Sus scrofa: one gene and its partners. The protein of the gene in region 1 interacts with the protein of each later gene in a pairwise test. Links are inferred from orthologs where the notes say so. Each region holds a gene or a part of one and is shown on either strand. Other genes may lie near its edges.

Evidence for each region.
Region 2: the proteins of MAPK8IP3 (region 1) and LDLRAP1 interact in binary tests that used the Homo sapiens proteins (3 or more experiments, as listed by UniProt). The two-hybrid records come from large-scale screens. The link is inferred for Sus scrofa from reciprocal best matches to the Homo sapiens genes MAPK8IP3 and LDLRAP1.
Region 3: the proteins of MAPK8IP3 (region 1) and KLC1 interact in binary tests that used the Homo sapiens proteins (3 or more experiments, as listed by UniProt). The link is inferred for Sus scrofa from reciprocal best matches to the Homo sapiens genes MAPK8IP3 and KLC1.

What each region holds. Positions count from the first base shown.
Region 1 is NC_010445.4:40,238,545-40,242,775, forward strand, and holds the start of MAPK8IP3 (C-Jun-amino-terminal kinase-interacting protein 3), read right to left. Parts: upstream 2,908-4,231; 5' UTR 2,570-2,907; coding exon 2,252-2,569; intron 1-2,251.
Region 2 is NC_010448.4:83,040,572-83,044,209, reverse strand, and holds part of LDLRAP1 (low density lipoprotein receptor adapter protein 1), read right to left. Parts: intron 3,292-3,638; coding exon 3,179-3,291; intron 1,292-3,178; coding exon 1,177-1,291; intron 1-1,176. UniProt on the Homo sapiens protein: Adapter protein (clathrin-associated sorting protein (CLASP)) required for efficient endocytosis of the LDL receptor (LDLR) in polarized cells such as hepatocytes and lymphocytes, but not in non-polarized cells (fibroblasts).
Region 3 is NW_018084979.1:2,151,818-2,156,138, reverse strand, and holds the start of KLC1 (kinesin light chain 1), read right to left. Parts: upstream 2,834-4,321; 5' UTR 2,569-2,833; intron 1-2,568. UniProt on the Homo sapiens protein: Kinesin is a microtubule-associated force-producing protein that may play a role in organelle transport. The light chain may function in coupling of cargo to the heavy chain or in the modulation of its ATPase activity.

The DNA of each region.
Region 1 (4,231 bases):
CCCCACCATCTCCAGCTCCTGTCTCATGAGAGGGCCCCCTCGGGACCAGAACACAGGCACCAGCCTCTCGCTGAGCCTATCGCGGGCGTGCCGCAGGGGCAGGGGTGCTTGCTCTGCTCCCGGCTCTTCTTTAGCCTGCAGCTTGCGCGCACTCAGAGGCTGCAGGCGGTTCGGGTTACGGCCTCTGAAAACGCCTTCCCAAGCAGACCGGCCAGGGCGCCAGGAGCCACTGCCAGGCCAGGCCGTTCTGCCCCTGTGTCTGGAAAAGCACCCCCCCCCCGCCCCCGACCGGTCTCTTCCACGGAACAGGAGAGGGGCGTCTGCTGGACGCGGAAAGTGAGCCAGGATGCCGACCCGGTGGCGGGACTCGGCCACACGGGAGGTCTCTCTAAGGGCACCGTTAGTGTCACATCACAGCCTCTGGCCGGCCTGCCAAACCGGGTCCGCTCCGGGGCTCGCGGCTCCGCCTCTCTCAACAGCGGAGGCAGGGAGCCAGTCTCCTCCAGACTGCTCAGCTCTCAGGCCCCGGGTGCGACCGGGCGGCCAGGGGCCCACTCGGCTGGGGCTGCCCCTGGACTGCACGGAGCAGAGCGCGGCCTCGCCCACCCAGAGCTGAGGGTGAAGTCGGAAGGTGAGGGTTCTCAGCCTTAAGGCCGTCCATCCTTCTCCCCGGACTTCCTTCCAGGCCACTATACGGACCACACGGGCACGGGACGCAGGAAACCCTCCTGAAACCCACCGTGAGGCATCAGATGGCTGCTGAGGACAGGCCAAAATGGGCGGCACTGCCCGGGGGGAGGGGAGGGGAGCCCGGCGCGTCAGGCTTCTGACCGCCCACAGCGGCATCATGGAAGAGCTCACGCCAGGGGTCAGGCCACACTGGGTCCCCGCCTGGTCCTTCCGGGGCATGTGACCTGGGACCCCTCCCCCCCCCCCCCCCCCCCCCCCCCCGGCGCCCCCTGTTCTTTCCCCAGGAAATGCCTAGGGCCACCGTGAACTCCGAAATCCTACAAGCTTGGGCATCCCCTTCAGTTGTGAGCCCCAGCAGGCAACCGTCCTTTGACAGATGCACAAAACCCAAGAGCCAGTGGGTCCCCGGAAGCAAGAATGACACAAGACAACGTTCACGCACACACACACTTAAACCAAACCAGGCCACCCACTGCTTGGGCTCGAGAAAAAGTCGAAACACTGGAACAATCCACTTCAATACTCAAGTCAAGAAGGTGTTGACCCAAATTAATTACAGGGGAATTTAGCACATGTAGTAAGAAACTTCCTATTCCTCAATGGAAAAGCATCACCCAATGACGGGTGGCACAGAATGTCAGGGCTCAGAGATCATCTAGGGCGAGTGACTACAGGACGGACGGAAATGCAAAATCCGGGGCAGAGAGGCGCCGTGGACAAGGTCACAGAGGCAAAAAGCAGGGACGAGAGCCCACATCCCCGGACCCGCCTAGGTCTGGCATAGAGCGTGAAATGACGGTGAATGAATGAAGGTAAGTGGGGTTCCTTACAATGCGTGTGGTTCTTCTAAGTGGCTCACAAAGACATGACGTCCAATTTAGGAAGATAGAATATCTAGGACAGAATACACTCTTTCCAAATTCTCCTTTTAACTCCTCGGAAGCCACAGTGCAATTTCTCAGCCTTTTCACAGAAGCTAACAACCTCCCCAAGGGAGGGCAACGCAGGGGAAAGAAACCACCTCCATAAACTTGAGGTCTTTCACCAGGTGCCAGCGAGGCTTTGGTTCTGTGTTCATATCCATCCTTAAACTCGCCCGGGTCACAGACCTTCAAAACACCGGCCCAGAGACAAGGCACAGATCTGACAACGGACAGCCTCTGGCTGCAGAACCGTAAGATCAGAAACCTCCTTTTTCTCGGAGACTTTAAAACGGCAGCAACCTGGAGTCTAGGAAACGTTTGCGAAACACACACACAAAAGCAAAAAGACCTGGCGTTTGGGATGAGAGGTGGGTAAGGATGGGACACTGGGGCCTGAGACCCTTCGCGCTGCAAGCTCTCCCCCGTGACGCCAGGTGGTTTAGGGGTCAGGGCTCCTGGCTGGAGCAGCGGGCCGGGAGGAAGGGGGAGCCAGGGCTCAGCCCCTGGGCCCGGCGGGGGGGGTGCCCCGGGGGGCTTGGCTGGGTGGGCGGGGCGGGAGTCGGGCCCCGCCAGGGCGGGGGCTGAGGGCGGGGCCCACGGGCGGGGCGAGGGTCCCCCGCGCGGCCCGGCCCACGCACCTCTTCGGCCTGCTTGCGCAGAGCCTTCTCCCGCTCGTACTGGGTGAGCAGCTGTTCGTTGTCCTCGCGCAGTAGCTCCAGCTCCACCTCGTGCTCCTGGTTCTCGCTGAGCACGGAGTCCAGGTTCTCGAGCACGTTGACCACGAGCGGCATAAGCTCTTTGACCACCTCCTCGTCATAGCAGTGGATGAGGCGCTCGAACTCGCGGTAGATGGAGCCCGCCAGGCCCGACACCCGCTCCGACATCACCGAGCCGGAGCAGTAGTCATCCTGGTACACGACCACGCCGCCGCCCTCGTCCATCTGGATCTCCATCATCGCGGCCACCGCCGCCGCCAGCGCGGCCTGCTGTCCGCCGGCGCGTTCGCCCGCCCCGGCTGCCCGTGAGTCCGCAGGCCGCAGCCCGTCGCCTCCGCCGCAGCCGCTGTTGCCTCAGGGCTCAGCCGCTGCCGCCGCCGATGCTGATGCTGCGCCCGTCACTCAGCAGCCGGAAGTCCCGCCGCCCGGAAGTCCCGCCCTCCAGACAGCGAGGGCGGTGCCCGCCCGTCCCGCCGGCGCCCCGCCGCTAGGGGTCGCAGGTGCCCTGACGTAGGAGGAAGTCCGTCTCCGGCCGGAAGCTGGGCAGGGAACGCTTCCGGCAGGCTTGTCAGAGCCGCTGTCGGTCAGCTCCCGCGACGCTGACGGCGTAGATTTTTACCAGGGGCCGCGCGTCCGCGCAGTGTGCACAAATGCTTCCGTACGGCCTGGACTTGGGCGAGCATCCGCGTGCCCCCTCCCCCCGCCCCGAGGGAAGGGCCATTATCTTTGGGCGCCTGTCCCCTCCCTCCTGAGGTGTCCAGGATGCTGACCTGGCTGTCCTCTGACTTGCCTTTGCAGCGTCACCGCAGTACGCACGCCTACACGGTAGGTGTTCAGAGCTCTCTGCCCTTCACTTGTCCCCTCTGGGGTTCCAGTCTCATCCTAAGATCCAGCAACAAACGCTCATTTACTCCACTTCGGTGTCTTGATTTTGTGTAACTTATGCAGATTTCAGTTTCATTTCACCAATGCGTCATCTAACCCACACACTGAGTTCATTTCGATAGATATATATTTTTGTTTGGCCACACCCTCAGCGTGTGGAAGTCGCCAGGTCAGGGATAAAACCTGCACCACAGCAGTGACCGTGCCCAATCCTCAACCTGCTGTGCCACCACAGGACTCCATCTACCATTTCACTTTTTTTTTTTTCTTCATTTTTGGCCGCCCCATGGCATGTGGAGTTCCTGGGCCAGGTATCAGATCCAAGAGGCAGTCGAGACCTAAGCCACAGCTATGGCAACACCGAATCCTTAACCCACTGGCCAGGGATGGAACCTGCGTCCCAGCACTCCTGACTCCACCAATCCTGTGATGCCCCAGCAGGAACTCTTCTGTGGTTACATGTTAACTTCCACTTGTCCTATTTGATTTTCCTTAGACTCTACCAGATTTTTTTGTTGGTTTGTGATTAGGGCAGCACCCGCGGCATACGGAGGTTCCCAGGCCAGGGGTCCAATTGGAGGTACAGCTACCACCCTACACCACAGCTACAGCCACACCAGATCCAAGCCGCATCTATAACCTACACCACTGCTCACAGCAACGCTGGATCCTTAACCCACTGAGCAAGGCCAGGGTTTGAACCTGCATCCTTGTGGATCCTAGTGGGATGCGTTAGCGCTGCACCACGACGAAAACGCCTGTACTCTGCCAGTTCCCATAGGCCCTTATTTCTCCCACTTTTAGCCACCTGATTTGCATTTCCTTTCAGTGAGGTCTGAGGACACCATGAACCTAAGACTGACACTTTCAGCCTTGGCAGCCACACAGATGGCATGAATCCTGATCAAGAGCCCACTGGTGACAGCCTAGCAGCTGCCTTCCACCTGGTGTGGTGCTTCAAAGGGAGCTCAACCAGACCAGCCGGGTCCTGACCCGACTGCTGGAACCAGTGAACGT
Region 2 (3,638 bases), on another chromosome or scaffold:
ACCCAGCGGGCCCAATCACAAAGGGCCTTATGAGAGGGAGGCAGGAGGTTGAGAGTCAGAAATAGCAACGTGACGACAGAAGCAGAGAGGGTGGCTGGACGGTGCTCCTCACTGCTGACTCTGAAGTTGGAGAAGAGGCCCTGAGGGGCAGCAGGAAGCAGGGGGTGGTGGTGGGGGGACATGGAAAGCCTGGGATGTCCTGGCTGTGTCCCTGGACGGGGTAGGGGAGAGAATCTTGTCTCGTTGGCCATAAGGACCACAGGGACTGGAGCTCTGGGCTTCAGACAGAGAGGTGAACAGAAGCCAAATCCAAATCAATAAATGTCAGGAACCTCCTTCCAGGGTGGGTGCTCAGACGTCAGAGGCTCAGAAACAAAAGCTTCAGTGCCAAAGGTTGACTCACTCCAGCTGCTGGCCATGATGCCCAAAGCAAATGCCCAGGGACCCCCAAGGTCCCACCTGTCCCAGCTAGTTGTGCTCAGGGTGGCCTGGATGTGGGGCGGGGGCTCCTGGCTCCTCACAGTCACGCGGGAGGGAGGAAAGTTAGGTTTAGACCCTCACTCTGCCTGGCTGGCTTCGTCATCTTCCCTAGCAAGACAGCGGACCTCTGTGAGGCTGCTTCCTCATTAAAAATGAAAATAAAACACGGAACACAGTAACAGCGCCCACCTCGCAGAGTTGTTCTGGGGATTAAATGAGACGATACTTTAAGGATCACCACCGAAACAGAGACAGATGAGGTACCACAACACGGCCACTGCACTTCCTGCTCTGGCCACAGCAAGCCCGGGCCCCTGAGGGTTCTCGCCTTTGCCTTTCACCCTGGGCCCCTCTGATCGCCAGTCTCCAAGGATTAATCCCTCATAACGCCCTGCACCCCCAGACCATACGAGTGACAGGAGGACCCCTCCCAAATCTCAAATCCATCAAATTACTCTGTGGAGAGGGAAGGGCCCAGGGCACTGGAACATGGGCTTGTCACTGCCCACAGGCCAGCCAAGGGCAGCCCATCCTGACAGGCCTCCCACTGGACTGCAGCCCTAAACGGTGCCCTCAGCTCTCAGCCCCCAATCCCTGTCATCTCTGAGTCCTGCCTCCCCCACCAGACAGGAACCCCAGGGGAGGGCTGCCAAGGCAGGGCCAGAGCCGGCTGGATCCCAGCCTCTCCCCACTGACCATCTTCCGCTTGGTGCAGAGGAAGGCGTGGCACTCGAGATTCTCGTTGTGCTGGCTCTGTGCGATGTAGGCAAACACTTTATCGTGCATCTTGTCTGCCGTGCAGTAGGAGATTCTGAAAGGCAAGGGGGAAGTGTCACCAGACTCCAGCACAGGGGCCTCACCTCACCTGCAATGCCCCTTAGAGCCTCTCCCCTGAGTTCCAGAGAGCCTGCCATCCCACTCCACCAGGGCGGGACTCTGGGCCTGGTATCCCAGGCTGTCTCTGGGGAGGTGGAAGCCCAGGCTGGGCAGGAAGGAGTGAGTGGGGGCAAAGACAGCACACCAGGCAACCTTCTAGACATATCGCGCCTCACTGAATTCTCAGAACTGCCCTCTGAGAGGGGTTCTGTTATTCTCTCCACTTTTCAAGTGAGAAAACTAAGGCTAACAGTTTCAGACCACCAGGCTAGATTTTGCAAGTCCTCTTAAGGGTTCTGCTGGAAGGGGAGGCAGGACACCACCCCGCCCACCACCCCTGCCCTACCTGTGATCACACCCCTGCCCAGAGGTCAGATGAGCCCCAGTCCCCTCTCCCCCAGGGTGACTAAGACGTCTGACAAGTTCTCCTAGAGCTGTGGCAGGGGGAGAGGAGCTGGGGGTAGGGCGGGGGCCTAGGAGGGAACCACTTGCCACCACCCCTCCACCTTGTCTGATCCCACCACACTGCCTCCAGTCATCCTGGGAATTCCAATCAGGAGAGGAACTGGCAGCCCAGAAGTGGGACAGGAGCTCAGCAGACTCCCTGACCTCATGTGGCCCCCACTTCAATCACGGGCATTGACATAGGGATCAGCACCACTTAAACCCCTAGATGGGCAGAGAGAGGGGGTGCCAGGTTCCCAGCTACCTCTTCTCCAGCCCAGGGGATCCAGCTGCCTGTCCTAAATGCCCTGGGTCCTTGGTATCAATCGACTAGATCCTGCTATTCTACCCTGGCAAGGTGCCACCTCCCATGAGAGGCTTTCCCAGGTTCCCCCAGGCAGGCCCCTCTTGCTCTGCCCTTTTAGGAAACACACTCTACCTCCTATTTCCCCCTCCATCTCTCCCAGGCTGGAAGCTCACTGCAGGCAGGGTCTGGGTCTGATTCCTCACCAGGCACAGACCTTAGCAGGGCAGGTACTTAGAAAATGCTGGTTGAAGAAGGCAGGTAGAATCAGGAAGGTAAGAGGAAGACACCCCCTAGAAATTCTAAAACCACGTCCCAACACACACCTACATTCCCAGTATGGGCTAGTGCTCCAGCCCACTGAGCCAGCCTGGTTGACTGGAGACGAAGCAAGAGGGTGGAGGGAGGCCTGGTGGTGGAGGGCCTGCTGGACAGAACTCTGGTCTCAGTGTCCTGGTCCCAGCTCAGCCACCACTTCACCATGAAGCCTCGGGCGGTTCCCTCTCTGGGAGTCAGCTATCCATCTGGAAAATGGACCTGAGCTGTCCCTTTCAGCTCCGAAATCCTACAACTGACCAGCCAAGAGAGGCAGGGACAGCCTGAGGCTCCTGGGGCTGGGTCCTGCCTCCCTGAGAACAGCCCCCACCCCCAAAGAGATCATCTCCACTTTGGTCTCAGACTCAGCCTGCAGCCTCCCTGGACGCCTGGCCAGATGTCCAGAGCTGAGCTGCTGCATTCCTAGCAAAAAAGGCAGTGACTATGCAGCTCTCAGCTCCAAGCCTGACTCAGCAGCACGCTTGTGGGGGTGGCAGCGGGGGGCAGGGGTGTCCTAGGCCTGCTGCAACTAGTGATAATGGCAGCAGCAACTGCCTCTTAGCTGAGCACTCTTTACGAAGCGCTGAATGCTCCCCTGGCTTACAGCAGCACCCCAAGGCAGGTCCTGTCCCCCCTGCCGTGTACAGATGAGGAAACTGGAGGCCCCAGGGTGACCAGACAGAAGTGGCAGAGCCTAGATTCAAACAGGGCACTCCATCCACTGCCCGCGCGGCAGAGGGTGGACGATGCTGAGCGTACCTGTAAATGGACACGTTCTCAATGAGCTGGTTGGTGATGCTGTCGGTCAGGATGATCCCCCGTGGCGACACCTTGAGAGTCACCTTCTGCAGCTTCTTCCCGCTGGCCTTCGCCTTGGGGCAGACGTGGGTCAGAGGAGCCTGCCTGCCTCACTTGGGACCCACCCTCGTGGGCTACATCTAGCTGGTCTATGCCCCAGGTGTGAGGCCCACAGGAGGCCGAGGCCTAGGTGACGGGAAAGACAGTTCAGCCAACACCCTCTTCTCAGGAAAACAGGGATGAGTGCCGCTCGCTGAGTACCTGCTGTCCACCAAGCACTGGCCCTCGAATCCTCCTCACAGGCGGCAGGGTTTCGCCTCAGGAGGACACGGATTCAGAGAGGTTAAGGGACTTGTCCAAGGACACACAGATGGGAGGGACCTCAGACTCTGAGGGCTGAATGAGCTCAAAACCCGCAGGA
Region 3 (4,321 bases), on another chromosome or scaffold:
CCTGTCTCGGAGTTCCCGCCATGGCTCAGCAGAAACAAATCTAATATTCGCAAGGACGCAGGTTTGATCCCTGGCCTCGCTCAGTGGGTTAAAGATCTGGCATTGCTGTGAGCTCTGGTGTAGGTCGCAGGCTCGGATCTGGCATTGATGTGGCTGTGGTGTTGGCCGGCGGCTACAGCTCCGACTGACCCCTAGCCTGGGAACCTCCATATGCCGAAGGTGGGGCCCTAAAAAGACCAAAAACAAACAGTCTCACTAGGCCATCCATGCTCTTTCTGAACCTGTGAACCATCACCTCACTCCTAAGCCCCTCCTCTCCTCCTTCCTTAGCCTCGGGATGAAAGCAAAGCCCTAAGCTCTGTGTACAAGCCTTTCCTGACCCCATCTTTCCCTCTCATCCCTTCGAAATCTGCAGCACCACCGCTCCCAGTCCCACCCCACTTTTCTTCGAGCCTCAGAGCCTGCATCACCTCGGAGCACTGGGCACAGTACAGGACCTATTCTGTGGTATCAGATGGAGCTCCTCCATGGCGGCGGCTGTCTCCTCGTCCCCGACTACTTGAGCACAGCAGGGGGCTCTCAGGAGACACTGAAGACCCTGCTTTCGCAACCTAATGGGCTAACATCTTTAGTCCATGCCACGACACTGACACTTCAAATCTCCCCGTGCTTCTGCTCAGGACATTACTGACCACTTCTTTGTTAAAAGTCCTGATTTCTTAACATATTCTACTTATGTTTCCAGTCATATGAATCCTAAGTTTCATTCCACTTCTGACTCCTCTATTTTCTAGTTCCCTTTACACAATTGTGTTTTTAAGATAGTTTATAGTCTACATGGAAAGCTACACACTGACTTACCTACTTTTCAACCATATGAAACATGTTTAAGAAGGTATACTTTGGAGTTCCCTTGTGGCATTGCGAGTTAAGGGTCCAGTGTTATTACTGCAGTGGCTTGGGTCACTGCTGTGGCACAGGTTCTGTTCCTGGCCCAGGAACGTCCACACACCAAGGGTGTGCCCCTCCCCCCCAAAAAAGGCATAATCTTTTTTTAAGAAGGTATAATTTAAGTAACTGCAACGGAGTTTTCGTTTGCTATGTAACCCTCAGGATTCTATGCGTCTCAGTGGCATTTCCTCCTAGTCCCTGCTAGCGACAATCACTGTCCTGATTCCCACGGATGTCCTTCTACCTTTACTACGTACCGTCTACAGCATTTACAGAAGGCGCTGCCAAGCCAGGGGAACGAGCCAGGCCGCAGTGAGGTTACCAGCCTGGTCCCCCACAGCCCTCAGCAACACCACAGGGCGGCCGGGCTCCACTGCAACATGAGGCTGCAGTCTGGGATGACTTGGAGAAACCGGCTCAAGAGAGGGCACCCTCCCACACAGAAGCCCCAACAATCTCGTTTTTATTATTTAGTATCACTGAACTCTTGGAAACACTCAGGAAACAGAAGATGAATCATTTCCCATCTTATCTAAGGCTTGTGGCCAGCCCCTGAAAGGTTCGTCCTAATAAGAGTATGACATTTAAAGAGGTTGTTCCAATTCCTAATGAGTTTTTACACTTAACTATTACAATGTGTTACGAGCTGATGATTCTGATCATGGCTTAGTCACGCTGTACAAAAACAGCCTAGAAGTTTAACTAATGCAAAGAATCAGAGAACCAACTGCCCTTTCACACAGCAGTTTAAATGGTGTATCGCAAATGCTGTGCTACTCTCACATTTGTCACAACATCATTTTCTCAAATACTTATCAAACACTTAGCATCTAAACTCCATGTTGTTTAAATAACAAAACATAAAAAGCAGTAACAATACAAAATCTCCAACACAAAATTACCTGCACCTACAAACCTTAACTTACAAAACCATTCAATCCACCAGGCATTAACTTTAACGCTTCACTTTAATTTTTTAGGGAAAGAGGGGAACCAAATTTGACAACCGAGTTAAGTATTCCGGGGCCAGGATGCTGCCAGCTGAGCGGGAGCAATTCGGGCCTCGGTGAACACGGTGGAAGAGACGTTTTCGCCCCCGGCGCCTCAAAGAAAGGGATCCGGAGCAGGCGAGGTGCCGCCGGCCTCTCGGGAGGGACCCCGCACGCTCCGACCCGCCGGCCGCCGGCCGCCCTCGAGCCTGACAGGCGCGTCCGCCCAGGGCGGTGCCGCGGGAGAGGGCGGGGGCCGGAAGGAAGAGGGAGGACCGGGACAAAGCCGGCCGGCCGCCCCCTCCCCGCGCGCCGCGCGCCCCGCTCCCGGGCGCGGCCACGTCCCCCGCCCCGCGGCGCCCGGGGCCGCAGCTGCTCCCGGAGCGGCCGCCCCCGCCGCGCCCCGCCCCGCCCCCGGCCGCAGCAGGGCCGAGCGGGGATGCGGAGCCGGGGTGCGGCCGGGGCGCGATGGGCGCCCGAACCTGGGGGAACGTGACGGGGAGGGGGCCGCGCCTGGGCGGCGACCGGGACCGGGAGGGGAGCGGGTGGACCTGCGGGAGGCCGCGGGCGGCGGCCCGGGGAGGGGGCAAGAGGGAGGCCGGAGGACCGGGGCCCGCCGCCGACTCACCGTGCTGCTCCCGCGGGGCCGCGCGCTCGCGCTGTCAGCACCGGGAGGCCGCGGGCGCGTGCGCGGAGCAGGACCGCCGGGGCCGCCGCCTCGGCCGCCTCAGGTGCGGCGCCGCGGTCAGTAGCGAGGAGCGCCGGCGCGGCCGCCCCGCAGCATGCTCAGCCGCCCGCGCGCGCTGTCTCCCGCGGCTCCTCCTCGCAGCCGCCGCCCCGCGCTCCGCCGGCTCCGGCTCCGCTGCTCCCGCCGCCGAAAATGGCGTCTCGGCGTCCCTCCCCCGGCTCGGCGCTCCCGCCCCACAATGCCACGCGCCGCCGTGACGTCACCCTGCCCGTCGCCGGGGGGCGGGGCGGCCCGGGAAACCGAGGCCGGGCGGCTCCCCTCGGCCCCCGCGCCGCGCGGGTTGGGTTGAGGGCCGGCGGGAGCGGGCCTCCGCGGCGCGGATGCGGTCCCGGGCCGGCGGCCGCGGGCCACACTGGGGCGGGGCGAGGGGCGACGAGGGGCCCTCCGTGGGCGGCCCCGCGCGGGCGCGGCTGCCGGCGACCCCGAGCGCCTGGCGGCTGCCCCTCCCCGCGGGCAGGGGCAGAGGGGCGCCCAGCACGGCGGGTCAGCTCCCCGCGCGGCCGACTCCCGCCCTCGCGAATCGAGAATAATGTTTGCTGTGTGCAAACCCTGTCTCCGTGTGTTTCGTGTGCTCGTTTAAATCTTTCACCAGCCCCTCCAAAGGAAAGGGTCCTGAGGCGCTGCACGAAGGCAGGGGGCCTTCCTCCAGGAAAACCTACCGCCTTAGGTCGGGGCCCTGGCCCCCACGCCCTCCCCCCCTCGGTCACTGGACGCTGGGCCTTGGGATCTTCAAGAGTCAGAGCTCAGGGGACTTGCTGGGCCCTCGCCTGAGCCACGGAGGCCTCGCAGGAACTGGACCTCAGGGTCGTCAGAGTGGCCGGGGTGCTTAACCCTCCTGCCTGGCCACAGCAGAGGTGCCACCCCCGCCATCGCATCCCACCCACGGGCAGCCGTCACCAGGGCACACCCCTGCTGCGATGCCAACTCTGGCCCAGCCCGAAGGGCAGTACTTCCAGGTCAGAAAGTGCCCCTGGGCCTCATCCTGCTGCATGGCCAGCTCTGCGGGCCTGACTCAGCAGCCAGCTGGGAGGATGGTGCTGATTCAGTGGGTAAAGCTCAGCTTTCTTTGCCTGCCACCCGCTTGAGAGAACCCCGCCCCAGGTGCCTGCAGATGTCCCAAGTCTCATTATTAACCAGGAGGGGCTCCTGTGCCAATGTGCCCCCACATTTGCTTTTGAACTGCTCTGCTTTTCAGATGTTAGCCCCAGCATTGCCATCCATTTCAACCCTGCAATTACTCAGTCACCCTGGAAGTAAAGGGCCCTGGATGTTCCCAGGGAGGTCCAGTTAATTTGCTTTCATTTATAAATGCAAAGCTGAGCTAGAAGTGGGGAAGTGCCTTCCATGACACAGCAGTTACTGGGGGTGGCGGTGGGGGGTGGCAGTTAAACAGAGTCCAATAACCCCTGCACACTCCCTGAGTGACTGGGACACACTGCAGCTTGGATGTCACCTGCTCCTCAACAACTGGGCTGGGCTTGGCAGGCAGCTGTAACCAGAAGGCTTTGGAGAAGGGAGCAGGCTGAGCAAGAGTCCCTTCTCTGTCTGAGACTCGGGGCTCAGTGTGTGACATTCCTTCCACTCACCCAGCAGGCGAGCAAGCGAGAAAGCCGAGGTGCTGATGCCCTCTTCT